Linked DNA regions of Drosophila melanogaster. The protein of the gene in region 1 interacts with the protein of each later gene in a biochemical or structural test. Each region holds a gene or a part of one and is shown on either strand. Other genes may lie near its edges. The genes, in order: Sos and drk.

Evidence for each region.
Region 2: the proteins of Sos (region 1) and drk interact in a test that uses a peptide from one of them, tested with the Drosophila melanogaster proteins (2 studies listed by BioGRID, with this or other methods).

What each region holds. Positions count from the first base shown.
Region 1 is NT_033779.5:13,804,689-13,822,862, forward strand, and holds Sos (Son of sevenless), read left to right. Parts: upstream 1-9,127; 5' UTR 9,128-9,525; coding exon 9,526-10,617; intron 10,618-10,670; coding exon 10,671-11,028; intron 11,029-11,090; coding exon 11,091-12,013; intron 12,014-12,077; coding exon 12,078-12,926; intron 12,927-12,988; coding exon 12,989-13,879; intron 13,880-13,947; coding exon 13,948-14,581; intron 14,582-14,646; coding exon 14,647-14,690; 3' UTR 14,691-15,136; downstream 15,137-18,174. Other genes in the region: CAH1 (carbonic anhydrase 1), read left to right, coding at 4,121-4,279, 4,347-4,966; Adat1 (adenosine deaminase, tRNA-specific 1), read right to left, coding at 5,521-5,833, 5,891-6,762; CG16865 (uncharacterized protein), read left to right, coding at 6,957-7,077, 7,138-7,298, 7,364-7,669, 7,791-7,946; CG16888 (uncharacterized protein), read right to left, coding at 8,037-8,546; b (black), read left to right, coding at 16,699-17,460, 17,994-18,174. UniProt on the Drosophila melanogaster protein: Promotes the exchange of Ras-bound GDP by GTP. Functions in signaling pathways initiated by the sevenless and epidermal growth factor receptor tyrosine kinases; implies a role for the ras pathway in neuronal development.
Region 2 is NT_033778.4:13,495,601-13,507,064, forward strand, and holds the start of drk (downstream of receptor kinase), read right to left. Parts: upstream 7,242-11,464; 5' UTR 7,091-7,241; exon of another isoform or gene 6,325-7,090; 5' UTR 6,291-6,324; coding exon 6,213-6,290; exon of another isoform or gene 5,874-6,212; intron 5,409-5,873; exon of another isoform or gene 5,021-5,408; intron 2,290-5,020; coding exon 2,192-2,289; intron 2,133-2,191; coding exon 2,013-2,132; intron 1,934-2,012; coding exon 1,768-1,933; intron 1,552-1,767; coding exon 1,378-1,551; 3' UTR 1-1,377. Other genes in the region: mars, read left to right, coding at 7,436-8,942, 9,000-10,258.

The DNA.
Region 1 (18,174 bases):
GCGGGTTTTTGTGTTTTTACGGATCGGGGAGTTTCACACGAGCTGGGTCTCGTGATCTGGTAATGTGTATGGTGCTTCCCACTAACCAACCAGTCGCCGGCGGAGTCAACCGCCTCGACTGGCAAACTAGTTCTCCACCGACCACCAGCAACCAGCGATCGATTGTTTTTCGCCTTGTCTTTGCTGTTTTTGTTTTCGGAGCACCCGGTGCCCCTCACTCTGCGCCGCTTCGAAGGCTAGTCAAGTGCATGTTCTTCGTCTGGTGAGGACACATGCCGGACCGGTTTCAATGTCTTGGGCGTATACGTAATATCTTATGTGTGCGGTATGCATATAACACTAGCATGTAGAATGTATATCGAATGGGCTGCGTTAGCCAGCATATCAATTTAGAATTGAAAAAAAAACCACTACTTCAGTTTTTGACAATTTCAATTGATTTGCTTAACTGGTTGTGATTGCTCTGATTGATTCGATACTGATACCGATACTGATACTGTTACTCATTGCGATTCCGATTCTGATTTTGATTCTGATTTTCCGGCGCCGCCCTGGTAACTTTCCAGCGCAAGAAGAACCTTATCAGCATGCTGCTCCTCCAGAGTCGAGAATGCCCACATTAAACACGAGAAACTCTCTGCCATACATATTCGTATTTTTCGTGGAGATTGCACATGTGTATAGACCCATCCTTATCAAGACGCTCAGGTTGTGTCTAACCCCTGGGCACTGACAGAAGCGTCTGAATGTTGGTTGACACGCTTCCATCTAGAAACCACTGATTACAACTCGCGTGTTTACGTGAGAGGATCAATCAGATGTCCCACCTATCGTCTGATTCAATCGCCAGTTCTAGTTCGCAAAGCTATTCTTGGATCAATTGCATCGAAGCGAAACTTGCTTTATTTTATCATTTAGAAATCTCAACCCTTAACAACTTCTAGAATTTCTTACCAAAAAAAAAATACTACATGTCTATATCATTAATGTGTCATAGTCATAATGATCGATGGATTTATAATGTTCCACACCGATTTATTTCGCGTGACTTATCAGATTTTGCAGTTAGATAAAACTTACTTAAGGAATACGGAAAGGTTTCGTTCTAAAGTTTACTTTGAGTATATATTTTTCGATATGCCAGATATCAGTCCGATCGAAACCAGGCCCCTTCATTAATGGTCAATATTTATTGGCGGTTTGGAATAGCAAAAAATAGAACTGCGAAACGATTTCTCACGCAAGGAAAATCATCAGATTGATATTATTTTTGGCCAGCTATATAGATACTGTATCACCTGACTTGCCAGTCCAGCTATTTTATATAGCAAATAAAATTTGATAATTTATGCATTTGTGCATATATTGAAAAATATCTGGACATGCAAGAAAAAACAGCTCAATTAATTTTCAGACGTGCCTAAACATTTCATTAGGCCACAATGCATTTCAGTTAGCTAAACTTTTACGGCCATTCGAGTATTTCATTTGCGCTTTATTGTCACCATTTCCCACCACATGCAAACAAATAATTATTGGCGAAAATTTTAGCAGATGATTGAAGGGTTGCATGGTTTGGATTGGTGGTCGATAGCCAAATGTCGTGGCAGTCCAAGGGTAGAGACCATTTCTGGGGCTTCTTCAAGCCAAGCTGGGTGATAAATATAGCAGGGGTAGTTGCCTTTCAGCCCGGTCAATTGAGTGGCCATAAAAAACAGTATAACCCAGAGACAAGTGGCCCCCCTCCCCACGAACAGCAGTTATACAATATATCATCCGGTACTGACTCAGAACTCGGAACTTGGAATTCCGGGGTGCGGCTGGGGGCACTTTCCCCAAACGAGTTTTTTGTCCGTACTTCCTTGCGATCGCCGCCAGGAAAGTGGGGAAAAAACACGCGAGAAACTCATGCCTCCATCCAATTGGGATGATATTATCATGCAAGGCTCGCTTAGAAGCGCTCGGCTCGTAAATTCGTAAATGCTAATTGCCACATTTTATTTTGTCGTGTTTTTAAGCGTTTTTCTTCTTTTTTTTTGCACTGTCGTAACGAGAATTTCTTAATTTGTCTCTCCGGTTTTACATGCGCTTTTTATATTTTTAATTTTTTTTTTTATATTTCAAATTGCTGCTTTGTGTATTTAAATGTTCGGAGAAATCGAAATCACTATACTCAGGGGCAATTTTCGATGGATTTCGTAAGAACGATCATTATACATTATAGATTCTATATAGAGATCAAGATCTTAACGTTTCCGGAACAAGTTCTCCCAGACAGCTACGGGTTTTCGTTTTTCCGCCGGCGAATATACGCTATAAATGGATGTGGGTAATTCATTTGCAGTAATTCAATTAAAAAATCATTCGGATTTTATGGCAGCATTAATGGTCACAATTGTTTCAAAGCTTCGCTTTTGTTCCATGTCATCCGAATTGAAACGAAATTAAGTGCAAAACGATGATGAATTGTTTAATATACATATAACTTTGCAGTTAGTAAACGCGTATAACAAAGGCTCGTTTGATCAGCTTTAAGGGACCCATAATGTCAACCGGTTATATCCGATCGAGTTTTGTTTGAACAAGTGCGGCATTTCCTTGTTTTCGTTTACTTTCTTCTACTTTTTTTTTATTAAAGTCTGCCAATTGTTATCACAGGCACTGTGAAATGCCGCCAGGTGATCTTAAAGTATTTACAGCCAAAGTCGGCAGCAAACTCGCTGGGTAAATAAAGCCAGTAAGTAAGCCTATACATTTAAATGAGTCGCACTATATTTATTTCTACATATACATATATACAGTACCGACTTCGGAGATATCTTAATAACTCGATTGTTGATTATAAAAAGGTAATGTGCTAAATGCGGCAGTAAATTCGCACTTGGCTGCTAACTCACAAAAGGATCGTGCAACTCCAATTGCCTGCTTCTTTGTATGCTGCCCCACACGGCGTATACGTGACATTCATACGCCATGTGCTGCGTCAGTCACATGCACACACTTTTTGCACCCGAATGGTGAATAAGGCTCTTGATTTCAACTTTGATAAATGATAAATGCATTTCACCTGACTTTTGTTATTTACTATCAGCATTATGAAGGACTTTGAGAATCGGCGAAATAAATATAGGAAGCTACAAAGCTGTTGACACCTTAAGCTCGGCGATCTATCAAATGACAAACGAGGCTTTGCCCGTTCGATAAGAAAACCCCTGCCGATTTCTGGGTACCATTACCAACGGCAAATGGTTCAATATTTGCTCCGATTCAGGCAAACAATCATATATTATACATATTCTGATTCCAATTCCCATAAACTTTTGCGGTTTATCTGCAGCGATCCTATCACATGACTCGGGTCTGCGGTCTTCCGAGTGATTCTACTGGCACGTGACGCGGTTCTCTGTGTCAATGTTTGCGCCACCAGTAATTAAAAAGAAGAATCCACATACACGCACATAAATCGCAACAAAATGCAGCAAACAGGGGAACAGCAAATACTTGTATTGCCTCAGCCGGTTGGTCAGATAAAAGGTCTATGCAAATATTATTATGACTGCCAGTTGGGCAAACGATTGTCAACTCTGGCGACATGTTCATAAATAAGCATCTTACTTAATGCTTCGGTAATCGCGAGTATAAGCAGCCATAAAAATATTAAGTCTTTGATTCATTTTTATTCCCATTTATTAGCTTCAAAGTCCAGATTCTAGTTGAAATATATACAATCTTTCATGTTTTTATAATAGAAATAATTTGAATTTAACAGCAAATTGTAGGAATAAATGAATTTGAAATGATTTTCGCTGTCTTCTGAAATTACTAGTACCATATAATAGTCGCCCTAATTATCGAATTAATGGATTAAACGAAATTCTTCAATTCCTTCCACATTTATTAGCTTCTATTTTTTCGGACATTAATCAATTTCCTGACCAGCCTAATGAGTTTTTAATAAACCCCAATGGAGTACTCCAATGAATTGATTTTAGTTGATTTATTGTTCCTTATCGACACAGCGAATTAGCACTTAGTTAAGTTGGTAAATTCGGGGAAAGCAAATACCTAATGACTTTGCCGCACGTTTACTTACCCGCCCCATTCAATGTTCCTATTTCAGGACCTGCCCACTGGGCCAAGGAGTACCCACAGGCGTCGGGACATCGTCAGTCGCCCGTGGATATCACACCCTCCAGCGCCAAGAAGGGCAGCGAACTGAATGTAGCTCCGCTCAAGTGGAAGTATGTGCCGGAGCACACCAAAAGCCTGGTCAATCCTGGTAAGAAATTCAAAGTTAACGTACTGTATTCTACTGAAATATTAATCCTTACCATTTGTTAATCTAGGCTATTGCTGGCGCGTGGATGTGAACGGCGCCGACTCCGAGCTGACTGGAGGACCGCTGGGCGATCAGATCTTTAAGCTGGAGCAGTTCCACTGCCACTGGGGCTGCACGGACTCCAAGGGATCGGAGCACACCGTCGACGGCGTGTCCTATTCCGGCGAGCTGCATTTGGTTCACTGGAACACCACGAAGTACAAGTCGTTTGGCGAGGCGGCTGCCGCTCCCGACGGCCTGGCCGTGCTGGGTGTGTTCCTTAAGGCTGGCAATCACCATGCCGAACTGGACAAGGTGACCAGCCTGCTGCAGTTCGTGCTGCACAAGGGCGATCGCGTCACCCTCCCCCAGGGCTGTGATCCCGGCCAGCTGCTGCCCGATGTGCACACCTATTGGACCTATGAGGGTTCCCTGACCACTCCACCGTGCTCGGAGTCGGTCATCTGGATCGTGTTCAAGACGCCCATCGAAGTGTCCGACGACCAGCTGAACGCCATGCGCAATCTCAATGCCTACGACGTGAAGGAGGAGTGCCCCTGCAACGAGTTCAACGGCAAGGTCATCAACAACTTCCGTCCTCCGCTGCCGCTGGGCAAGCGTGAGCTGCGCGAGATCGGGGGCCACTAAGTCGGTGGATGTTGGACAACTAAGTCCTTGGATAGTCAACGGATTCGAGTGTCGTATGATTAGCTTTTCGCACCCACACATCACATCCGTACGCCACGAGCTGGACCGGCACATCTCCATTGTTCAATTCTCGTCTTTAGTTCGTACGCCCAGCAAGAGCATACCTCCTATATGTGCATCCGTATCCGTATTCGCATCAGTGGATGCTTAGCTGTAACCTTAATTGTACATGTACGCCTGTTCGTTTGTTTGTCTGTTAAACGTTTGCAAAATGACAATTAGATTTATGTTATTATGGTATTATAAACTAAATATAACACGCTTAGATGTTGCATATGATAACCTAACTGACTTTCAATTCTGTGGAAATAGTTACTTTAAAGGGAAGCTATAATCCGAAGTTATTTCATCTCTGATAAGGACATTTTCAGCAACTACACATTTTCAAGAAAGCAATTGAAGGAGCTTAGACCAGAAGTTCCACTTCATCCCAACTTTAGCAATAAAATACTTGCTTGGTCTGCATCTTATCCTCGTTTCACTGGCACGAAGTGTCATTTATTTGACATTGGATTAAAGTCTAGCAACTCGTGTGGTTTTTTGGTCCATTGGAGAAAGTATTTCTCTTTGATTTCCCGCCAGGCAAACTGGTAATCTCTGGCCAAGTCTTTACAGGAAGCATAGGCGATACGCTCAGGATCGGAAAGCTGTTGATCGAACATTTCACTTAGCTTCGGATTGAACTTTACCAACTCTAGAAATGTAAGGAACAGCTTGTACTTGCTGATCGCCAGTGCAGCTTGTGAAGTTTTCATCTTTTTCTTAGTTACTCCTTGACGCTTTCCATTTACGGAAATTTCATAGGGCCTGCGTGTTAGGAATATATGTTTAGATCTGAAACTGTCTAGCTAAAAGGACCCTTACCTTAATTCTTCTGGGACCTGGGACCAAATCAGGCCATTGGGGGATGGCTGCCAGTCGGAGCGTTGGGAAAATTCAAATCTTATGCCAGGATCAATGTTTATCTGTGGCCTTTGAGGCTGGAAGCGCGTGTGCTTAAATGTCCTACAATCGAAACGTTTAAAGATGGCACGTTCCAAAGATTCCAGCTGCGCATCGTCACAGCAAAAGTTCAGGCTGCTAAAGTAGATGGGTTTGGAGATCAATACATCCAGTAGTGCCCCCTGCACGCCTATGACATTCCATCGCGCTATCTTATCACTGCAGGACATGGATAGAGTGCGCTCTCCACGTCCGGGCTTCGTTCGCAGAGCTCCTGGCGTCTGCAACATTGGATCATCGCTAAGGTCACTTATTAGTTTGGCACCCGTATAGACCATCTCGGAATCCTCATCCAGCCGCTGGCGTTTGGCCCGCGCCGCTGGTTGCTCTTCCTCAAGGATGCAGGCATCCCCACAAGGCGTTTGTGTGCTCAGAAAGTGGAACTCCACGTGCTCATCCATGTCGTACGTACTTAGCGTGCTGTTCCAATGAAAGATTCTATCCTGCTTGAGCTCCTGGTATAGAAAGCGAAGAAATCCACGACGTGCCAGCACCTCGGCATGGGAATCATTCAGGATGAGGCCATTGGGACAAAGTTTGGATTCTCCAATGCACTTTGTTCCGCATCCAAGCGAAACTAGTTGACATGCTTCCGTGTTCCGGTTGAACTCCACGATTCCCGCCAAAATTGTCCATTGATTGGCTGTGGGCTTTCCTGTTTTTGGCAAGGACTCGAATTTTTTTAAACAAAGTTCCGCAATTTCCTTAACAGTCGGTTTTTTGTTATCACACATTTTTGTTTATATTCGCAAATGTGCGAACCGATAAGTTCGGTAATCGAATAGCAATATCGATTGGCGTGTTGCATTGTTTACCTTTTGCTTGCACACTCTGGTCTCACTGTTTATTTATTTACTTGCGGTGTTTAATGAAATAGGAAATTACTTTAATTTTATAAGTTTCATAAGTCCGAAACCCACAAATAACCATGCCCAAAGTAGTGTCGCGCAGTATCGTCTGCTCCGATACCAAGGATCAGGAGGAGTACAACGAGGAAAAGCCGCTAAACATTTACTACTGTCTGTGCAACAAGATGGCTCTGATTCTGGGTAAGATTACTGGAGCCAACTAACTGAAAGCATAGTACATCATGTTTGCCTATCCTACAGATTGCACCCTCGAACAGTTGCCGCTACGAGAGGTGGACAACGCCCGTGTGATAAACGCCAACGACCATGCCAACAAACTCACCCACAATCCCACACCGAGGATGGTCTACATCAAACGCAAGAGCAGGGGCAATGGGATCGAGAAGCAGTACCGCTACAAGGTGAGTAGCTGACTTCCACTCCTTACCCGTCATTAGTTCACCTAATGTTTTCCTTTAACCTTCAGTGCCGAAGCTGCAGTCTGCCGCTTTACTATCGCCACAGTCCCGACTCCCACGTAACCTTCGTCATGTCCAATGCCCTAATCCGCAACAAGGGTGAGAGTCCTCTCACACAGCTGCTGAATTCGGAGATCAAGGGCAGTTTCAAGGCACCGGCTGCCAAGCCAGCGACTTCCGCCGGTCCAGACGATTCGGGTATTGTGGATGCCAGTGGCAAGAAGGTCGTCGTCACCAGACACACGAAGAACATGGGCAAGTTCAGCTCGGTCACGGTGTCTACCATCGACGAGGAGGAGGATGAAATCGAGGCGGTAAGTTTGTCAGCTAAAGTTGGTTTGTAAATGGTGCAGGAAATCCAATCTATCATTGCATCATCTACGAACAAACCTACAACTCTTTCAAACTAACCATTTTTTTTGTTCATTCAAACAGCGCGAGATCGCAGACAGCTATGCGAACAACGCAAGGATTATCGAGAAGCAACTGCAGCGCAAAGGCGGAAAATTGAGCGATGTGGGCATCAAAACCAAGACAGAGGACGCACCTCCGCCGCAGAAGAAGCAGCGCGGCACGCTACTGGAAAGATAGTCACACTCTGCCTCCTTATTACCCACAACTAAATATATTTGACGACACAAATGGCTGGCATTCTTGGAAGAAAAATTGCAATTTATCTAGTTATAGCATACGCAAATAGTTTGACCTTCTATGCTGTCGTTTTGGCAGCAAACTGGGATGCTGTGCCAGTAGCTTCTTCAGTCGCTGCTCGGCGTGCTGGTGATTGAGAATCGAGTCCTTGACAAGCCCACAACTGGGACATAGATTGTACTCCGACTTTGACTTTTTGACGATCGCTGGACGCACGCGAGTCTCCATGATCAGCTTCATTCGATTCGTGGTACGCGGCGAGTTGTGCAGAGCAGTGAGTGGACGGCACTTACTTCTTGGCGAGGATTCGGTCCGTTCCAAAGCAGCCTTCTCCTTGCTCCTGACCAGCTCGAGTGCACGATTCGCTCGGGCTTTGGCCAGCTGCAATTCGAGAGGCGCCTTTGGCAGGTTAAAAAAGAAGTGGGTCCACTTATCGCGCAACTGTTCGATGGCCTCCGAGTTGAATAGTGAGCTGGAACGATTGGAGGTATGGGGTCCCCATTCCGCGTTCCCGATGCAACTCAATCTATAAGCGGACATTGAAACCTGAAGTATTATACACTGAAAATTTGACAACAAAGTAAAAGTGTACATATATGTGTATATGTATACTATATACCGTATAGTTATGGTTTTTGGATGGATTGTTTTTCAAATATATAATTATACGAGGGTATAGAAGCTTCGACTTCTGGAAGCTAGCTCCCTAACTGTTTTTGGTTTTTGTATTCTGTTGCATTGCATTGCTTTCATATGTTTAATTGTTTCAACTGAACACATTGTACTTGTTTTCGATTTAGAAGCGTTGAAAGCGGATGTATCTTACATTATCCAAGTAAAATAAGGGATGAGTCGATATGTATGTTGCATATCTCCTTACGATTTTAGATAAGGAAAGACATTTTATAAATATAAATATAAATTTCTTGAAATATAAACATTGAAGAGATAATTAAATTCATTTTTTTTGGGTAAATTATAATATATTTTAAACCTGCTCGTTGCAATTTAAATTCAAAATGCTTCTTCTTCTGCTAAAAAAGCCATTCAACACGAATGCTCTCTACATTGGATTTTTTAGTACATTCTTAAGCATCGAATCAGGGCTGGTCGCGAGCATTTACTGGATTTAGGCAGTGCCGCACTCTGGTCACACCGCGAAAAATATTATATTGAGTTGAAGATTATATTATACATATATATATCGAAGATACATATTCTGAAAACAAGTGCTGAAGCCCAAGCGATTTGCAAACGAAACGGACGCGCGAGCCCCGTTCAAGATTCGAAACGAGTTCAGTGCGTGCGCTTGAGTGTGTGTGACTGCCATGCGACGTTCGCCCGGGTGATCCGGCTGTGCCAGGTGCCCCACGGTTCCAGGTTTCCAGTTTCCAGGTTCCGCTCCACTCCACTCGTCGCTGGATTCAGTGCACAACACAGCGGGCGGGGAGGCGGAGGGCAGGCGGCCAACGAAGGTGCTCCACGGCAGGCTCTCGTCGGCTACTCCACGGCGCACAGAATGTTCTCGGGGCCCAGCGGCCATGCCCACACCATTAGCTACGGGGGCGGGATCGGTCTGGGCACTGGAGGCGGCGGCGGCAGCGGTGGTAGTGGTAGTGGCTCACAGGGCGGAGGCGGTGGTATTGGCATTGGCGGCGGTGGCGTGGCTGGGCTGCAGGATTGCGATGGCTATGACTTCACCAAGTGCGAGAATGCTGCGAGATGGAGGGGCTTGTTTACGCCATCGCTAAAGAAGGTGCTGGAGCAAGTGCATCCACGGGTTACCGCCAAGGAGGACGCACTGCTGTATGTGGAGAAACTCTGTCTGCGGCTTCTGGCCATGCTGTGCGCCAAGCCGCTGCCCCATTCCGTGCAGGATGTGGAGGAGAAGGTGAACAAGTCCTTTCCAGCGCCCATCGATCAGTGGGCCCTGAACGAGGCCAAGGAGGTGATCAACTCGAAGAAACGCAAGTCTGTCCTGCCCACGGAAAAGGTGCACACGCTGCTCCAGAAGGATGTGTTGCAGTACAAGATCGATAGCTCCGTGTCCGCCTTCCTGGTGGCCGTGCTCGAGTACATCTCAGCGGACATACTCAAAATGGCCGGCGACTATGTGATCAAGATCGCCCACTGCGAGATCACCAAGGAGGACATCGAGGTGGTGATGAACGCCGATCGTGTGCTAATGGACATGCTCAACCAGAGCGAAGCCCACATCCTGCCCAGTCCCCTGTCACTTCCCGCGCAGCGTGCAAGTGCCACCTACGAGGAGACGGTCAAGGAGCTGATCCACGACGAGAAGCAGTACCAACGCGACCTGCACATGATCATACGCGTCTTTCGTGAGGAGCTGGTGAAGATCGTGTCCGATCCGCGCGAGCTGGAACCGATATTCTCCAACATAATGGACATTTACGAGGTGACGGTCACTCTGCTCGGCTCCCTGGAGGACGTCATCGAGATGTCCCAGGAGCAGAGTGCCCCCTGCGTCGGTAGCTGCTTTGAGGAACTGGCCGAGGCCGAGGAGTTCGATGTGTACAAGAAGTACGCCTACGACGTTACCTCGCAGGCCTCACGGGATGCTCTCAACAATCTCCTGTCTAAGCCAGGGGTAAGTATTGATACCTTCTGTGCGAAGAATTCTACTAAAATCCCTGCTTTTAGGCCTCATCTCTGACCACAGCCGGCCATGGCTTCCGCGATGCGGTCAAATACTATTTGCCCAAGCTGCTTCTGGTGCCCATTTGCCATGCCTTCGTGTATTTCGACTACATCAAGCATCTCAAGGATCTCAGCTCTTCGCAGGACGACATCGAGAGCTTCGAACAGGTACAGGGACTGTTGCATCCACTCCACTGCGATCTCGAAAAGGTAATGGCCAGCCTGTCCAAGGAGCGACAAGTTCCGGTTAGCGGTCGAGTGCGCCGCCAGCTGGCAATCGAGCGGACACGGGAGCTCCAAATGAAGGTGGAGCACTGGGAGGACAAGGACGTGGGCCAGAATTGCAATGAATTTATTCGCGGTAAGTGCTGGCAACGAAAGTTACTTGCATCCTCCAACTAAAATGGTATTTCAAATTTACAGAGGATTCGCTGAGCAAACTTGGATCGGGAAAACGAATCTGGAGCGAGCGCAAGGTATTCCTCTTCGACGGGCTAATGGTGCTATGCAAGGCAAACACCAAGAAACAAACACCATCGGCAGGAGCAACGGCCTACGACTACCGACTGAAGGAGAAGTATTTCATGCGACGCGTGGATATCAACGATCGACCGGACAGCGATGATCTGAAGAACAGTTTTGAGTTGGCACCCCGGATGCAGCCGCCCATTGTGCTGACCGCCAAGAATGCACAGCACAAGCACGACTGGATGGCAGACCTGCTGATGGTTATCACCAAGTCGATGCTGGACCGGCACTTGGACAGCATATTGCAAGACATCGAGCGAAAGCATCCGCTGCGGATGCCCAGTCCGGAGATTTACAAGTTCGCGGTGCCGGACAGCGGTGACAATATCGTGTTGGAGGAGCGCGAAAGCGCAGGAGTGCCGATGATCAAGGGAGCGACGCTTTGCAAGCTAATCGAGCGCCTCACCTATCACATCTACGCCGATCCGACTTTTGTGCGCACCTTCCTCACCACATATCGCTACTTCTGCTCGCCGCAGCAATTGCTGCAACTGCTGGTGGAACGCTTTAACATACCGGATCCCAGCCTGGTCTATCAAGACACGGGCACAGCAGGTGCGGGTGGAATGGGCGGCGTTGGCGGTGACAAGGAGCACAAGAACTCGCATCGCGAGGACTGGAAACGATATCGCAAGGAGTACGTGCAGCCAGTGCAGTTTCGAGTGCTCAACGTACTGCGCCATTGGGTCGACCATCATTTTTACGATTTCGAGAAGGATCCCATGTTGCTGGAGAAGCTGCTGAACTTTCTGGAGCACGTGAATGGCAAATCGATGCGCAAGTGGGTGGATTCCGTGCTTAAGATTGTTCAGAGAAAGGTGAGTAGTTGGTCAACAGCATAATGTGGAAGTATCGTTATCATTTTTCAAATATTATTTACAGAACGAGCAGGAGAAAAGCAATAAAAAGATTGTATACGCCTATGGCCACGATCCGCCGCCCATTGAGCATCACCTTAGTGTACCCAACGACGAGATAACGCTCCTCACCCTGCACCCACTGGAACTGGCCCGTCAGCTCACTCTACTGGAATTCGAGATGTACAAGAATGTAAAGCCGTCTGAGTTGGTCGGATCACCCTGGACGAAAAAGGACAAGGAGGTGAAGAGCCCTAATCTACTGAAGATAATGAAGCACACCACGAACGTCACCCGCTGGATTGAAAAATCCATCACCGAAGCGGAGAACTACGAGGAACGCCTGGCTATTATGCAACGCGCAATCGAAGTGATGATGGTGATGCTGGAATTGAACAATTTTAATGGAATCCTCTCGATTGTCGCGGCTATGGGCACGGCATCTGTTTATCGACTGCGGTGGACATTCCAGGGATTGCCCGAACGCTACAGAAAATTCTTGGAGGAATGCCGCGAGCTCAGCGACGATCATCTCAAAAAGTATCAGGAGCGATTGCGATCCATCAATCCGCCTTGTGTGCCATTTTTCGGTCGCTACTTGACCAACATACTCCACTTGGAGGAGGGTAACCCCGACCTGCTAGCCAACACAGAGCTAATTAACTTTTCCAAACGACGGAAAGTGGCCGAGATTATTGGCGAGATTCAACAGTACCAGAACCAGCCATACTGCCTCAACGAGGAGTCCACAATACGACAGTTCTTCGAGCAACTGGATCCGTTTAACGGACTGTCCGACAAACAGATGTCCGACTATCTCTATAACGAAAGCCTGCGCATTGAGCCAAGGGGCTGCAAGACAGTGCCGAAATTCGTAAGTATAATGCTTCAAAGTTTACAAGTCATATAGGAAATTTAACCATTTTCCTTTCGTAGCCTCGAAAATGGCCGCACATTCCGCTCAAATCGCCGGGCATCAAGCCGCGTCGCCAGAATCAGACCAACAGCAGTAGCAAGCTGTCGAACAGCACGTCGTCCGTGGCGGCGGCAGCGGCAGCATCGTCAACGGCCACCTCAATAGCTACGGCATCGGCGCCATCTTTGCACGCCTCCAGCATAATGGATGCGCCAACAGCAGCAGCAGCTAATGCTGGATCTGGAACTCTCGCTGGCGAGCAAAGTCCGCAGCACAATCCGCACGCTTTCTCCGTTTTCGCCCCTGTTATTATACCCGAACGGAACACCAGCAGCTGGAGTGGAACGCCACAGCACACTCGAACGGACCAGAACAACGGGGAGGTTTCGGTGCCGGCGCCACATCTCCCCAAGAAACCGGGCGCGCATGTCTGGGCTAACAACAACTCGACACTGGCCAGTGCGTCGGCAATGGATGTTGTGTTCAGTCCAGCGCTGCCGGAGCATCTGCCACCGCAGTCCCTGCCGGACAGCAATCCATTCGCATCGGACACGGAAGCTCCACCGTCGCCGCTGCCCAAGCTAGTGGTCAGTCCGCGTCACGAAACCGGCAATCGATCACCATTCCATGGGCGCATGCAGAACAGCCCAACGCATAGCACTGCCAGTACCGTGACCCTTACAGGCATGTCTACATCGGGCGGGGAGGAATTCTGCGCGGGTGGATTCTACTTTAACAGTGCCCATCAGGGACAGCCGGGGGCAGTGCCCATCTCGCCGCATGTCAACGTTCCGATGGCCACCAATATGGAGTACCGAGCAGTGCCGCCTCCACTGCCACCCAGACGCAAGGAGCGCACTGAGAGCTGTGCGGACATGGCGCAAAAGCGTCAGGCGCCAGACGCACCCACAGTAAGTAGCCTCACTTACTTCTAATTTGTAGTAGCAGATGACAGCAATCATTTTACGTATCCTTGCAGTTACCCCCGCGTGATGGCGAACTCAGTCCGCCGCCGATACCGCCACGGCTCAACCATTCCACGGGCATCAGCTACTTGCGACAAAGCCACGGCAAGAGCAAGGAGTTTGTGGGCAACAGCAGTCTGCTCCTGCCCAACACCAGCAGTATTATGATACGCCGCAACTCGGCGATCGAGAAGCGGGCAGCGGCAACTAGCCAGCCAAACCAGGCGGCGGCGGGACCCATCAGCACGACACTAGTGACCGTGTCGCAGGCAGTGGCGACGGACGAACCGCTGCCGCTACCGATCTCGCCAGCGGCAAGCTCCTCGACGACCACATCACCGCTGACACCCGCCATGTCGCCCATGTCTCCCAACATTCCCAGCCATCCGGTGGAGAGCACGTCGAGCAGCTATGCCCACCAACTGCGAATGCGGCAGCAGCAGCAGCAGCAGACGCATCCAGCGATCTACTCGCAGCACCATCAACATCATGCCACCCATCTGCCGCACCATCCGCACCAGCACCATTCGAATCCGACGCAGTCGCGCTCGTCCCCCAAGGAGTTCTTTCCGATTGCCACGAGCCTCGAGGGCACACCCAAACTTCCACCAAAACCTAGTCTAAGCGCTAACTTCTATAACAATCCAGGTGAGTGCTACCAACTCGGCCCGTGATAACGTGTTTCCTAACCCAACCATCCTATCCGTTTGCAGATAAAGGTACGATGTTTCTTTACCCAAGTACAAACGAAGAATAATTTAAATTGCCTGGCGATGTGATAAGGACGAAAACTACGAGTATGATCCGTAAGATTCAAAGTTGCGAGCACTGCTTGAGTGCAGATATATATATGAGAGAACGGAACGTGAGATATATATATATATATATACATATATACGTAGGCGCAGTTTATGTATTCTAGTATGAAACGAGTTGGAACCGCTGATTTAGATTATTCGCCACTCATTTAACAAGGTAGAACAGACAGACAGACAAAATACGCTCTCATTTACACACAACAGGCACGCGCATATGGATAGGAATGCAGGACACACAAACCAAGCAAGCAACCAAGCAACCAACAAGAAATGCAAACAAGAAATTATGTTATTATATAATTACTATTATAAATATTTGTAAATATCGAGAACATTGTATTGATCGTAGAACGTAAAACAATAAAGTATAACCCTATTGTTAGACACTTGGCGACATCTTTCGATGACCAGAAATATAGAGTATTGTAGCCAAAGTCAAGGCAATCTGAGCAAATAGCATAGATTATCAAGGCTTTTCCAACGTTTAAAGATCGTGGGTATTCTTTATGTGCCCAGTGGCCTTGATGAAGTCGACGTGAACCGACATCCGACTGCAACACACCTGACATTCTCGCAGTGTCCAGCATAATCGCAGCCATTATTAAGATTGTGTATATGGCTAATTAGTTTCGGTGGGTTAGGAAAAACTAGAGCGATTGTTGTCTCACTGCATTAGGTGCAATTAAATTGGACACACACATTCGCTTATTGGAAACAACGCGGATTGACTTTCGCTTTTCTAAAACGTCATGAACGTCGAGCACAAATGCTTCCTGAAATTTTGGGCTGCTCGCCGCTGGGAACCGGTTGTTGTTTTTTTGAATTATTTTCGTATATTTGTATATTCGTATTTTCACGCTCGTGTCCAGCCCCTTATCGTCAGTTATTTGGGGGAGTTATGTGTGTGCAGCAGCCACCGTCCCCAAAAAGCGATGTGTCACCTGATGGCGCAGCGATTTGGATCCTCGGTGAAGTACCAGCGGTTACCAGGGTGAATAAACCGAAAGGAATTCCTGGGAAAGACAGACCATCTTTCATGTCCAATTGTGTCCTATGAACACATCTCAATACATCATAGCAGACACTCGGGGAATTTCCGTTGTTGAATTGTGGGGGGTGGTGGTGGGGTGCACCTTTATTTATAGAGCACCATGCACTCCATACCCTATAGACAAGGCCATCGGACGAGCACGATCATATCTATTCGCCATTAGATTTCGCTTTCCCTGCAACACTTGACCAAGATATCGGGAAGCCAGACGACGACCTACACCAACTGGCAATCTATGTATGTAAGTATGTATGTGCCAGTCTGCCATCTTCTCACACAATTAGCAATTGGCCAAAGAATGGAATTATTCAATGCATTTGCATTTAATGCATACTTGATTGCGGCTAATGAGAGAGAAACGCCACGGCAAATTGCTAGAGAAGATTAGACCTTTGGCGCATAATCAGCGCGCCGTAATTGCTCGTAAATAATTGTGTTACATGAGCATATCAATTAGTCAGCCAATTAACCAACAGCCAGCCAAAATTGGGATTCTGCGATTCTGGGATGAGTGGACCAGGGAAATCCCGGTGCTCTGAGTGCTCTGCATTGCGCAGGAACGAGGTGCTTTCCATGCTAACAGCCGCATAACCAGAATCCACGAGTCAAGCCAGGTGAGATCGGCACCTGCGTCGGCTCTCGAGCGGCAGTGCCTTTATGTAATAAGCGCCACTCGGTTTCGGATTCGGATTCGGATTCTGAGTTGTGGAAGTCGTCGAGCTTTTATAAAAGCGGCAACAACATCGCCTGTTCACTCAGTTCACACGGAATCACTGTCAAGTGCAATCTGCAGCAGTAGCAGCACCAGCACCAGGAACAGTACCATCTAGTACATCGGAAATCTAGAGCGCTAGCCAAGACATTTACAGTATAAACCGCAGACGAGAGCCAATAAAATGCTGGCCAGCGAGAACTTTCCCACACATCACTTCAAGGAATCTATATTTAAGCCGTACAGTACGACGAGTGGCGATGATTTGGCAAGCGTTAGCCCATTGACAGCGACGGCAGCGTTGGTGGCGTCCACGTCGTCACCGGCTGATTCCACCTCCACAGTTGCATTCGAGCAGGCCAGCAAAATGTTGGCCAACGCCGCCAACAATAATAATAATAATAATAACAACATCACGAGCACCAAGGATGATCTATCCAGCTTTGTGGCCAGCCATCCGGCGGCAGAGTTCGAGGGCTTCATCCGCGCTTGCGTCGACGAGATCATCAAGCTGGCCGTCTTCCAGGGCACCAATCGCTCCTCGAAGGTCGTCGAGTGGCACGAGCCAGCTGAGCTGCGACAGCTCTTTGACTTCCAGCTGCGGGAGCAGGGCGAATCGCAGGACAAGCTGCGCGAGCTGCTGCGGGAAACGATTCGATTCTCCGTGAAGACAGGACATCCGTACTTCATCAATCAGTTGTACTCGGGTGTGGATCCATACGCGCTGGTAGGTCAATGGCTCACCGATGCCCTCAATCCCAGCGTGTACACGTACGAGGTGGCTCCACTCTTTACGCTGATGGAGGAGCAGGTGTTGGCCGAGATGCGACGCATTGTGGGCTTCCCCAATGGCGGCCAGGGTGATGGCATCTTCTGTCCCGGCGGCTCGATAGCCAACGGTTATGCAATCAGCTGCGCCCGCTACAGACACTCGCCCGAGTCCAAGGTGAGTGCCCCATTGCAGCCAAGTGGTTTACCGCCAATCCACGCGGAAGTCGGCATCCACTGATTGGCGAGTGATCGTTAGTCATGCCCGTGATATACATATAAAAGTGAAACTAAAAGTTCTTAGCGATTTAATCAGATAAATAAACTATAAAGATGTGTGTTTCAAGATTAAAAGGCACATATTTAGGTTCATAAAAAAGGTTTAATGATTTCCTGTGCTAAAAATTATACTTTTTATGTTCATTTTCGATTTATATAGAAATTTAACTGATAAAGAGAACGGTATTTTAAAACAATGCATTTTAGAACTTAGTGCTTTTCAAGGATTTTTCTACATTTTTGTCTGTTGAAAAAATTCAATTCAAATTCCAATCTAAATAACGAATTAAAACTTTAAAAAACTCGAATATCTACGGAATTGAAATAGGAATTCTTTTCTAAATAGATCGATTTTATAAAAATAGTTATACTATATAGAAAAAGTATTACTAACTTTTATAAATATACGAAATTAACCTCTTCAATCCGCAGAAAAACGGACTCTTTAATGCCAAGCCGCTGATTATCTTCACCTCGGAGGACGCGCACTACTCCGTGGAGAAGCTGGCCATGTTCATGGGCTTCGGCAGCGATCATGTGCGCAAGATAGCCACCAACGAGGTGGGCAAGATGCGGCTGAGCGACCTGGAGAAACAGGTGAAGCTGTGCCTGG
Region 2 (11,464 bases), on another chromosome or scaffold:
TGCTTCGATATATAATATTTATATATAGATAAAAAAATAGGCTTAAAATGTTTCGTTTTAGCATTTTGTTGTTGTTTAAATTACTTTATATTGGCAACTCTCATTACATTTGTTAATGCATATAGTTATGTAGTTGAAAAACGCTCGAACGTGCAACTATTTCGCTTTGCTGATGACAAAAATGGTTACACACAGCACACTCAACCAATTATATAAATAGTAGTAGTAATAATTTATAGCACAATATGATATAGCAGCAGTTTGAAACTTTTTACACATGTCACAAATGTTTTCTTCCCGTTTGCAAGATTCATTTTTCGTTCATGGAGTTTTTGTGGTCAGAAGACAGAGTGCAAATTATAATTACTGACAATTTTCAACTTTAAAGCGAAGGGACAAAATTTCACATAATCAATTTACAGTCGCCGCAAAAGTTGCATGTGCAGCCGAGGCCTAATATCGTTCAATTTGCATTAAGAAGATACATATTTATTTATAGATGCGTGCATGTATGCATATAGTAACCAGCGATGCAAAAATTAATTTAATTTATGTGGTAGGCATTTACGATAATATAATATAAATTTTGTTTTAATTGTCTTCAGCTTTGAGACATTTAGGCAAAAGTTTTCTTTTCATAGTGAATTTGTTTTGTTTTCTATAAAACGTGTTAAGCATTAGGTTGGTTGGTTGGTAATTCGTTATCATATAATCATAATAATATAAGTGTTCACTCGCTGCGAAACGCACTCCTTGAAAACATCAAAACATAAACTAAAGAGCACATGTAGGGCAAAATCCTCAACACACGTTCAAAAGCACAGGACAGAACTTCTCTTTATCGAACTTAAATTATATATTTATATCAAAAATCCGCTTGTTTACAATAATAATAATAGTGCCTGGTCTGGTATGTAGACATACTTGCATATGCCTATAGTTGCGGTCAAGATTGTAGCAAGTGAGTTTCGTCCTCTGTGCGGAAGGATTGCAAAGGAAAACTCCGATCAAATGCCTTTTTCTTCGGCCGCAGCTATAAATACACAAATAAATTTACATATCTAGTTTAAAGTGTCACTCAGTTGCTATTAAACGATTTCGTAATGTTATCGTAATGTAATTGTTTTATCAAAAAACGTCAAAACGTAAAAAATGCATTCGGCTTAAAGGCTTAAACTTGTGTTGTTCTATACGTTGTCTACAGAATTTATGTCCACGTTTCTTGTATATAAATATTTAAAATTTGTGTTTTTTAGTTTCTTCTTGTTGTTATTCGCAATTGCTGATAATGCTGCCTAATCGTTATGGGTGTGTGTTGTGTTTTTCGCGTTTCCCGGAGAGGATTGTGTGTGGCGTCCCTCCTTAGAAGTTATCTTATTATGAATGATATGGCGTCACATAAGTTGCTGGGAAGATGCCTTTCCTATTGCCGATCTCGCCGTTCCACCAGTTCTCATCGGAGCGATCTGTGACGGTGATGACATCGCCGCGTCTGAAGTCCAATTCCCCGGATTCCTGTGGCACAAAATCGTACAGCGCCTGCACGAGCATCTGCAATAAAAAAAATCGTTCGGACATAATGAATCCAATCTAATACTCTTGGCATCGCTGTTTGTTTATAGTTCAAATGGGTGGGCGGTGGCGGCGGCATCGTACGCAAACATGACCTCAATGTGTTATGCGAAATTTGTATTTTTAAAATGAATCTGCATGTTTGCTGAGCAAACTCATCACATCAAAATGGAATGGAATGGACGGCACACCCACCTCTTCAGGTATCATATCACGCAATTTGACATCCTGCGACCGGGACACGCTCGCCGTCCGATGATATTCGACCAGTTCGTTGAGGGAGTTGAACTTGACCACCCAGAGGAAGAATTTGCTTTGGGCATCGCGCAGAACCTTGAAATGCTGAACGCCATCGGGGCATCTGAAGGGGCAAAGAATTTCGATTATATACGGTTTTCAATCATAAATATGAAAGCTGAAGCCATTCAAGCGCAACTCACTTGACTGATAAGGAGAAATCGCCGGGACTGGATTCGCTGATGCGTATCAAGAAGGCGCCTTCGTGCTTATTTGACAGCAGCTTCTCAGCATCGGCGCGTGTGATGCGTCCGTAATACCAGCTACAATAGAAATGATCATTATTTGGGTCTCGATATTGGAAATTTCAGGCTCGACTTACTCGTGATTCTTCATTTCTATGTAATTACTAGGTATGAGGCCTTCCTTTCCATCCAGCTCCGCGCGATACCAATTTGAATCGTCTTCCATATTTAATATCTGTGTAAAAAGAAGGGATGTAAGTTAATTTAAGCAATACAAATCAATGGGTTTGTAAATGTAATGAACCATATTTTTGATTAAATAACTAATAAAGAAAGCTTGATTTGTGGAAAAAAGGATCTTAATGGGCATAAAATTACCTAAATCTTCTACCCCTGCCTAATAAAACAATCATATATTCAGCTTCATGAGGCTGAGTTAAATGTTAAATATGTTCTTTGGTTTTTCCATGAAGTTATTAAAACCGGAGCATCTGATTTTAATTCCCATTTCTCACGAAACCAAAGTACCAGCTGCACAGTGAGTAATCCGATCCCCGAAAATTTGTTGTAAGAACCTGCCTCCGTTGTTTCCATTTTGAGGGCCACTCCCCTTTAATCCCAACCCCCCCAGACAATGGCGATCAATCGAGACATTCTTCCGCTTTGTTTATTGGCGACTGGCCCGATTCCCCAGTGGATTCGATGAACAGTTTTCAATTGTTTGTTGATTGAGCGTTGTCCCAAAAAACTGTGTCAGTGCGCAATCAGCGAAGATAGGCTTATGGTTTGGTATGAAACGTACATATTTATCTATTATCTCCACTATTCTCATATCTTTTTTTTCTTGCGAAACGCTAAAAATAGGCAAGCATTATGGCCGCGACATGTGATAAGAATGTTAAGTGAAACGGAGCACTCACTCGAATGGACGAATTTCACTTTTGTCTATCTAATGAACTTTTTCCTAGCCCATTTCGCATGCCAATGACACAACAACAGGCTGCTGCCTACGTAATCATCGACTACTTTTATGATATCTTACGATTGACAGCCGAAATTGAAGATTGTCTATCTGCAAAGGTCTCGCCATTTGCTTGGCCACTGGGAATTCCCAGATTCGAAGGTGCTGAGTTGAGCTTTTATGAATGAATCTCGTCGCTTATGACGGCGCCCAGCAGCCTTCAGTTTTCGGAATCTGTTTGCTTTTCTCAAGGAAATCGGTTGCACAAATACCCAGGAAATGTGTTTATTGTGCAAAGGTCAGGATTTCGACTTTTAGTTAAGTCTTAAGTAAAGCATATTCCTATCTTTATGGATTTCTGCCATTTTTCCCTTGAGCAGTTCAGTGTTTATTTGGTAGCTTTGTTGTTTTCCAATATAGCTTGTTCGTCAAGTCGGAATAATGGAATGGCATTCAAATGAGTCACCCACAAAAAAAACCCCTGTTGATACTGTGTAGTTGAGGGTTGGTTACTTTTCTGAAGTTGCAACTTGTAATTACCCCATGAATGTCTCATCGTTAATTATACACGCTACTAACATACGAGGTTAATAACAAACATAATACCTTAACCCACAGATCGATTTCTTGTTAATTAAAGATACAAATATATATATATAAATATGAGATATATCATATTCGATTCGTATAATGATGTTTCGAGTTTTTTGGTTACATTTTCGCACGTCGGAATGTGGAGGGGATTTGGGTGATGTGGAGCTGGAGGTGGATGGGGTGTCAATGTCGTTTCCAGCTTATGTAAAACCCAATTATTGTGCTCACTGTTGGCTGTGGCAGTGGGATTTTGCCCGCTCAGCTGGATCTGGCCGACTAATTGGCATAGCTCCATAGTTCTAATCCACCCCGCGATCACCGACCATCCCGCCCGCATCTGTCACCCAGACATTGTTCATCGTATATTTATTTTATTTTTAGATTGTTTCATTCATTGAAAACAGCCGCCGAGAAATTCATTTCCACGGATTCGTCGTCTATTACAGAAAGTTTTCTCGCCGCTCAGCACTGGGAAAAACCAGAGGGTTTAGAAATAATATAAACTTAAATATGCTGAAATGCTTCAAGAACATAAACTTTCCAAGTATTCCATGATCGCATATTTATTTTCCCAACTGCATAAGGAAGTGCACCATTTTTTTTTCAGTGCAGGCAATGTGCAATGTGCCTGTTGGATAATGCATAAATATTTAGCGGCGCTTTCGGAAGGCAGGCACGTAGTGGCCATGATTGTTATTATCAATTGTTTATACTCGTATGCTTATGTAATTACTAGAGAAAAAATTCTATTGTCGTTTCGGAAATCCGACGCTGAAAAAAGTGTCAAAGCAACACGAACGTTCACTTTTCGCTGTTTTCGCGACAAGCGAAAGTTGAGCACAGAATCCCATTTCGTGTGTTTCACATTGTTATGATAAAACGTGGCCACTTTTGGTGCCCACACAACAAGGCCGTTAGAATTGGAGGCATTTTTTTTTTTGGAAAATGGAGCTCCAAATATCCAAGAAATACGCTGACCTGTAAACCAGTTTTCTGGAAAGAGAACGAACCCCAATGAAATGTTTGATGATTCACAGCGCTCCTCTCTCTATCGCCTTCTATGCCTGCTGTATGTTTGCTGGATTGGGGCATCTTTTCAGATAAGGCTATCGAGAAGTGACTAATCGCTGGCAAACAAACAAATGCGCTGGGAGTTCGAACAGATATGCGTAACATACATATCTCCAATGCGAGATAATCGTGTATTTCTATTTATCCCCCGCATCAATGGAGCCCAGAACTATGGGCTATTAAACGAACTATGACTATCAGTGCGGATTGTTTACCCATTGATAAGACCGTGCAGCTGGACAGAGGGCTCATCTACGGCGTAGAAGCCCCTCTAATGGACGGGAGCAGCGCACACACTTGACCTTCGGGCGGCGATAAAGAAGCCTCTTCGGCGAGTCATTGACACCATCAATCAGCAGCAGCGGCAGCAGCAGCAACAAATGCTGCAAATGCAGCGGCGGCATATGGAAAAGAGGCGCAAAAAAAAGAGGCACAAAAAGGGAGAAAACCTGCCACGGGCCTGGGTTCCTGCTGTGACTAACCTACGACAAGGTAGACACACAGCAACGAAAATCAGCTTACATCGCGCCCTGGCAACAAGAAACCGGAAAATTCGCCAGCCAAAACAAAGGGTTTGGCCTAGGACAGCCAGCCAGCCAGCCATCGAGCCAGTGAGCCAACACAAACACAAACACCTGGAAGGAAGCAAGGCGGCGAAAAAGATCGAATCGCAGCCTGCCAGCAGCCTTTTTCTTGGCCAGAAAAGCCAGCGAATACAAGCAACACGGGTAAGCATCGGATGTCCCCCACAAAGTTCCGCAAAGTCAAAGGGGGCATCGAATATATCATCACTACAAACTGTTGGAATTGTTTTTCTAAGCATTCGGAAGAAAACGAATAAGGAAAGTTGAAATAGTATATATACTATAGGAATGCTAACAATAAATAAGTTCATTCAAGGAAACACAGTGAAAAATGCTAGATTTGCAAAGTATAGTATATAGATTAAATCATATATGCATGTTTATAGCTTTAGAAACCCCCTCCTCACATCATTTTTTAAACTTACTTTGTAATGCTAATCACAACTATATGCAGATTAAATGGGGTCAAAAATATGGTCTTGATAGATTTGAAGTGCAGTTGAGAAATGAAAAAATGTAGAGTAGAATGTACAATATTTCAGTATGTGATGCTTCACAAGGATTTTGTACTGATAGTGGAATATATTTGACTGAATCTTTTCGTTCTAGTAAGAGTATTCGGGCTGCGGTGGCTAATGAGTCGTAATCCTTTCGTGTTGCCTTCTGCGAATGCACCTTTTGAAACTCTTTAGCCAGCTTTTGCGACTGCTGTCTGTTTGGTCGCGATTTAGTAACAAAATCTGTCTGGGGATTGAACCTAGGATGTGGGTTAAGGCAACGACCTGGACGGCGGCAGCTGCATCGCAGCGGATTATGCATGCAGGACCTGCCACGTCCCCCTGTGCACCCCCTTACACCCTTGCGTGCCCCCATTCAGTGTGAAGTCTATGAATAAATGCAGATATTATGATTTGAGGTGGGAATTGATGATTTTGGAACAGCACTCACCTTTAGAATCTGAGTTTTGCGAAAACTCAGCTCGTCGTCAGCCGTCGCAGAGAAATCGTGTTTGGCAATCGCTTCCATTTTGCTGTGTTGTTTTGTGCGCAGTTAGAAAACGCTTTCGGAGTTTGTTTTAAAATTTAGTTGCAATTGTAGTTTTGGATTTAGTTCTATCAGCCTTGATGCACCACACACACGCACACACAGAGGCACAGACACACACGCTCGTTCTCTGCTCTTTCTCTCTAACTCTCTTTGAATTTCTCTCTCACTCACTACTCAGTGCTGTGGAAATGAAAACGAAACGAGACGAATCCGCGATTAGTTAGCGCACATTATATAAACGATAAATCATGGATATTCGGCAGTGCGCTTTTCTCAGTTCGGTTAATAATAATATATCTTGTGCGAAGGCAAGGGAAGAAAGCGATTAAAAATACACCGACGACGACGACATTCCCAGGCGGAGCAGCAACAGAGAATGAACACAGACACGAGCCGCTCTCTCCACGGCGGCCACTGTGTGGGTGTGTGTGCGTGAGCGTGGCAGCGTTGCCAGCAGCTTGCGATTTGGAATTTCGGGGAAAAGCAGGTACCGCAAAAGCAATTAGACGATGTTTGGCTATTACTTGTTGTTATGCGAAGTAATTTGCCTTAAATAATATGAAATGTGTCGCTTAGAACACAATTAACATTTGGCAATCTAGGGCGTGGGTGCTTGCTGTTGGCAATGCTGCCGCGGTGACGTTGTTGTTTGTTTTATTTTTTGTAACCCCAATAAACACACACACACACACACACGCGGCGCTTATATTTCTATATGCGTAAGTTGCGGCTAACTATTTTCGAGTCTCTGGCACGTGCAAAGAGGCCGCCGGGCTTACAATTTCAAAGGGCTAGGGTGGCTGCAAGCTTAAGCGACACTAATTAGGCGCGGGAGCGGTTTGGCTAACATATTACTACTGCTAAATTTGTAATTCACTTTTATTTTCATAGCAGCGTGACCGTGGCCGGGTCGCTTTATTATTCCAAGAAAATATACTGAACACAACACTGTGGGAGAGGCATACCGCAGGGCTTTCGTAGTTTTCCTTCACCTGGTCACACCGCAAGACGCTTCGCCATTTTAAAAATCAAAACAGGAGACGCTTCGCCGGAAAAGTCAGCATTACGTTTCATTCCCAACCGGACACTTCAGTTTGACTCGCCCATCCGTCACAGCAGTCGCCATGCAGCGCCACAAGGAACTGTACAAGGAGCAATCGCTGGTGCTGAGTCCGCGCAATCACTGCCAGGAGAACAGGGATCGGTTGCAGGCGGCGCGCGCCAAAAAACGAGAGGATTGTTTTTATCAGAACCGCATCATCAGCGTGAGCCCGACGCCCGTCAAAATAAAGCAATTGGCGGCGGCCCAAGCTGCTCTGACCCAGGAAAATGTGGCACCCAAACTGGAGAGTCCGGAGCGGCTGGACACGAAGCCCGCAGAACTGCTGAAGGAATCCAACCCGAAGGTCTCCCGCCAGAAGCTCTACTTACAACGCTACATGGAGTGGAAGATAGCCAAGACCAAGGAGCATAAGCAGCAAGACCAGAAACGTCGAGGCGCAGCCATCAATGTGCCGACAGTAAAACAATCAAAGGCCTTGCCCAAATCACAAACATTTCGGGTTCCCGATAATCTGGCTTCTGCAAAGCAGAAGGAGGCGGCTCCCATGTTCCAGCCTCCCAAGCGGTGTTCTCTCTACATGATTGCCAATCCGACGGGCAAGGGAAAAGCCGCAGAACCGATTAAACCTTCAATACCCAAGCCAACGTCAGCAGCAGCTCCTCCGTCATCCAATACCGTGGCTGCATCTTCCGCCTTGGCCAGGCATAAATCAGCTGCTTCTGCAACAAAAATAGTGCCTGCAATTCGTCAGAACAACAATCCAGTGGCCTTGGCCAGGCAAAAAGCAGCTGCACGACCCATTCCCAACACAACGAAGCAAACTACCAGTGTAAGGCAGCCTGGGATTGAAGCGAAAAAGATCACTACCACCATACCCAGACCCACCCCAGCGACAGTCACGAAAGCGAAAACGCCAGGCATACGACAACAGCCACCAGTGGTCAGCACAAAGCCAAGATTACCTGAGCCGCCAGCGCCACGGACAGCTAGACTGCCCAATGTGTTGTCCAAGCCGTTCGAGAAACCTTTAGGAAACAAGGCACCAGTGACACGACGGGCGAATGTCGTGAAACCACAGCCTATACGTGGCGGAGGTGGTGCCGCGGCCAAGTTCAAGGACACAGCTGGAGCGACCAGCAAGGCAGCAAGTCACTCCATACGAATGAAGGCCACCAAGATAAAGAGCCAGTACACGAGGCTTCAGGACAACGTGCGAAAGCTTCCTCAGCTCAAAGCCGAGTTGCTGCACGCAGCCACGCTAGATATACCGCCTCTCACGCCGCTAGACGATATCCATAATCCCTTTATCGACCAGGCCACATCAACGCAGTGCAAGTCGAACAATAGCAGCGGTCATCTTTTGGAGGCGTTTGGCGACACCATCTTGTTGAGCCCGGTGGCACCGGTCAAAGCTGAAGGAGAAAGTTCGGTGAAAAGGCAGTTGCTGCCGGAAGGTAAGAAAGAGGCGTCAGGTCCGGTGGCAAAGAAAAAGTTCGACTTTACGCGTTACTCAGTGGCGAATTCGCCGGCGGAGGACTCGCTCATCTTGGATCCTCAGCAGACGACGGGTGAGTTTGGGATACGCCTTCTCCAATCTTAAACTCAAACTCACATTTTCCTTTCAGTTAAAGAAGACACTGGAGATTCCACTTTGGTGCCAGAGGGTACAAAGACACCGCCACGTCGCGAATCCAATGGAATGCCCAACTATCTCAGTCCGTTTGTTAGTGTCTCGCGGGGAAAGGTGAACTCGCGCTGTGAGAAGGAGAAACGCAATAGCTTCTACCTGTCCAATGAGGAATCGCCCTTGGAAGTTCGCCGTGCCATTGAATCGGTTCTGTACTTCCGACTGCAGCTGGAAAACGAGATCACGCGCCTCCAAGCGCTTTGCGCTGAATGGGAGGCGTACAGCAAGGAGAATGAGGCACGGCTGCAGGAAACGGGCGGCATTGACATGATCAACGTGACCATCGGTCAAACACGTCTGCTGACCACAAAAAAGATGATGCAGTTCAGCGGCCTGATCGATCGTTGCGAGGCTGGAGCGACCGGCAAGAACAGTCAGCCAAACGATGGCAGTGAGGATTCGAAACCGGTGCAGGCTGAGGATCTGGAGGGCTGGTGGGACATGCTGCGCCTGCAGAGCGAGAACGTGGACAAGCGTTTCGATAACCTGAAACGTTGGAAGGCCAACGACTGGCTGGATCCGGATGCCGTGGCCGAGGAACCCAAACAGCCGAAGCCCAAGCCCAAGATAAGTCGCAACATGAAGATCAAATCGAAGGCCAAGCCGAGCAGCAATCTGCAGCAGTTCCTCCGCAAAGCCCATGCCAACATGAAGAAGACCAAGGTGGAGGAGCCAACGCTGGAGGATGGCCTGCCCGCCACGTCCTCGCGCCACAGTTCGCCGCGAGTAATCGTAGTTCGCAACCGCCGATCCTTTTCGCCCGCCCGCACAGTACTCCGCATGTCCACCGGCGAGGGCCGTCAGTCGATTGCGCCAAATGCGCTCCTGAAATCAGCGATTCTTGCGGCCGCCGAGCAGAACGCTGCCAAGACGCCGCCGCCTAAGCCGCGCACCTCCATCCTCAAGACGCCCGGCACCACGAAACGCCAGAACCGTGGCGTGCTCTTCAGCGCCAAGAAGAGCGTACGACGATTCCAGTTCACCTACGAGGAGGGAAACATTAGCAACGACGAGACAGTGGGCGCCGACAAGTTGGAGGACTGCGAGGAGGACATGTCGCTGGAAGCCTCCACGGAAAGCGGATCCCTGGAACAGAATCCGGGAAGGGATTCCAATCAGGAGAATGAAGCAACTCCTCGCACGTACACGCTGCGCAATCGGCGGGTGAATCTGCGTCCCTCCTCCGAGTTTATGTAGTTTTGTCTATTGACAGTAATTGTCCGTTGTGGAATTGTTTATACTTTTATCTTCTTAGTTTAATATTTTTTTGCGGATGCCATTAAGTGTTAATTTATTAAGATGTTGAAAATTACATTTGGCGTTTTAAATGTTCGACGAGTATGTTCTGTGAAAATGAAAGCTTATTTTATTTTTAATTATCTATCTTACCTTGATTATAATTTAGACATAGTTAAAGGAATAAAAAAGAGAAGAATAAATAAATTTGAAATGCTTTTCTTATTGAAAGGGGATCGAAATTTAAAATTAACAATTTAATATCACAACACAGAAATTTGATTACGCGACTCAACTAGTAAAACTTGAATTTTGGAGTTCCAGAAAATTAATATTAAAATATTTGCATTTTTCAAGTTGTCTAAATAAATTTTAAGAATTTAGTTTTGGTATGAGTCTTTGCTAACATATTACCCAAGTCATTCACCTTCATGGCTCCGTATAATTTTGAAGTATTTTCCAGTATTTCCTAAGGAAATTTCAGTATATCTGCGTGTGTATGGCGGTATAATTTAACGGTAGCGACACGGTCTCACCCTGATTCATAAAAGTAAAGGAAGACCACTCGACGGCAATTTAAATTGAATTTTGAATTTTGCTGTTGCACTCGATTGTAAATACTCGTTGATAAGGCCGCCAAATGAAAGTGCACATAGCTGTGATATCGCGACGCGCATCTCACCGCAGTGACTAACCGCCTCGCGACCGTTTCGTTCGCCCGCGACGCCCTTTGAGTTCAACGCATTCACATTTCCCAGTGTGCAGATTTTCTTTTTGTTTTGTCCGCAGTCACCGCGCACTGCATTCAAAACAGCGCCCAACACACAATACGCGAACCACAGCGGCACAGCATACACAATACACACCCAGCATGGACACGAGTGGCGGAAATTTGGGTAAGGATCTGGTCATTTCGTATTTCAAATTGAATTTTCAACCTCTGGTACAGCGTGTACTCGCCATGGCAGTTGGGCCATTCGCTGGCGCGCAAATTGATCTCCTCGATTTGCGGCTCCCCCTTCGCTTGTCTACCCCCCTGCCACAACACCGGCAAGCTAACTTATGAGTGCGTATTGCATTGCGGTGTGCATATATCTGGCAATGGGTCTGAATTTAGATTTTTCGTAAGTTTGTGCACTCTGCTGACGAAACGAAAAAGTGCTTTTA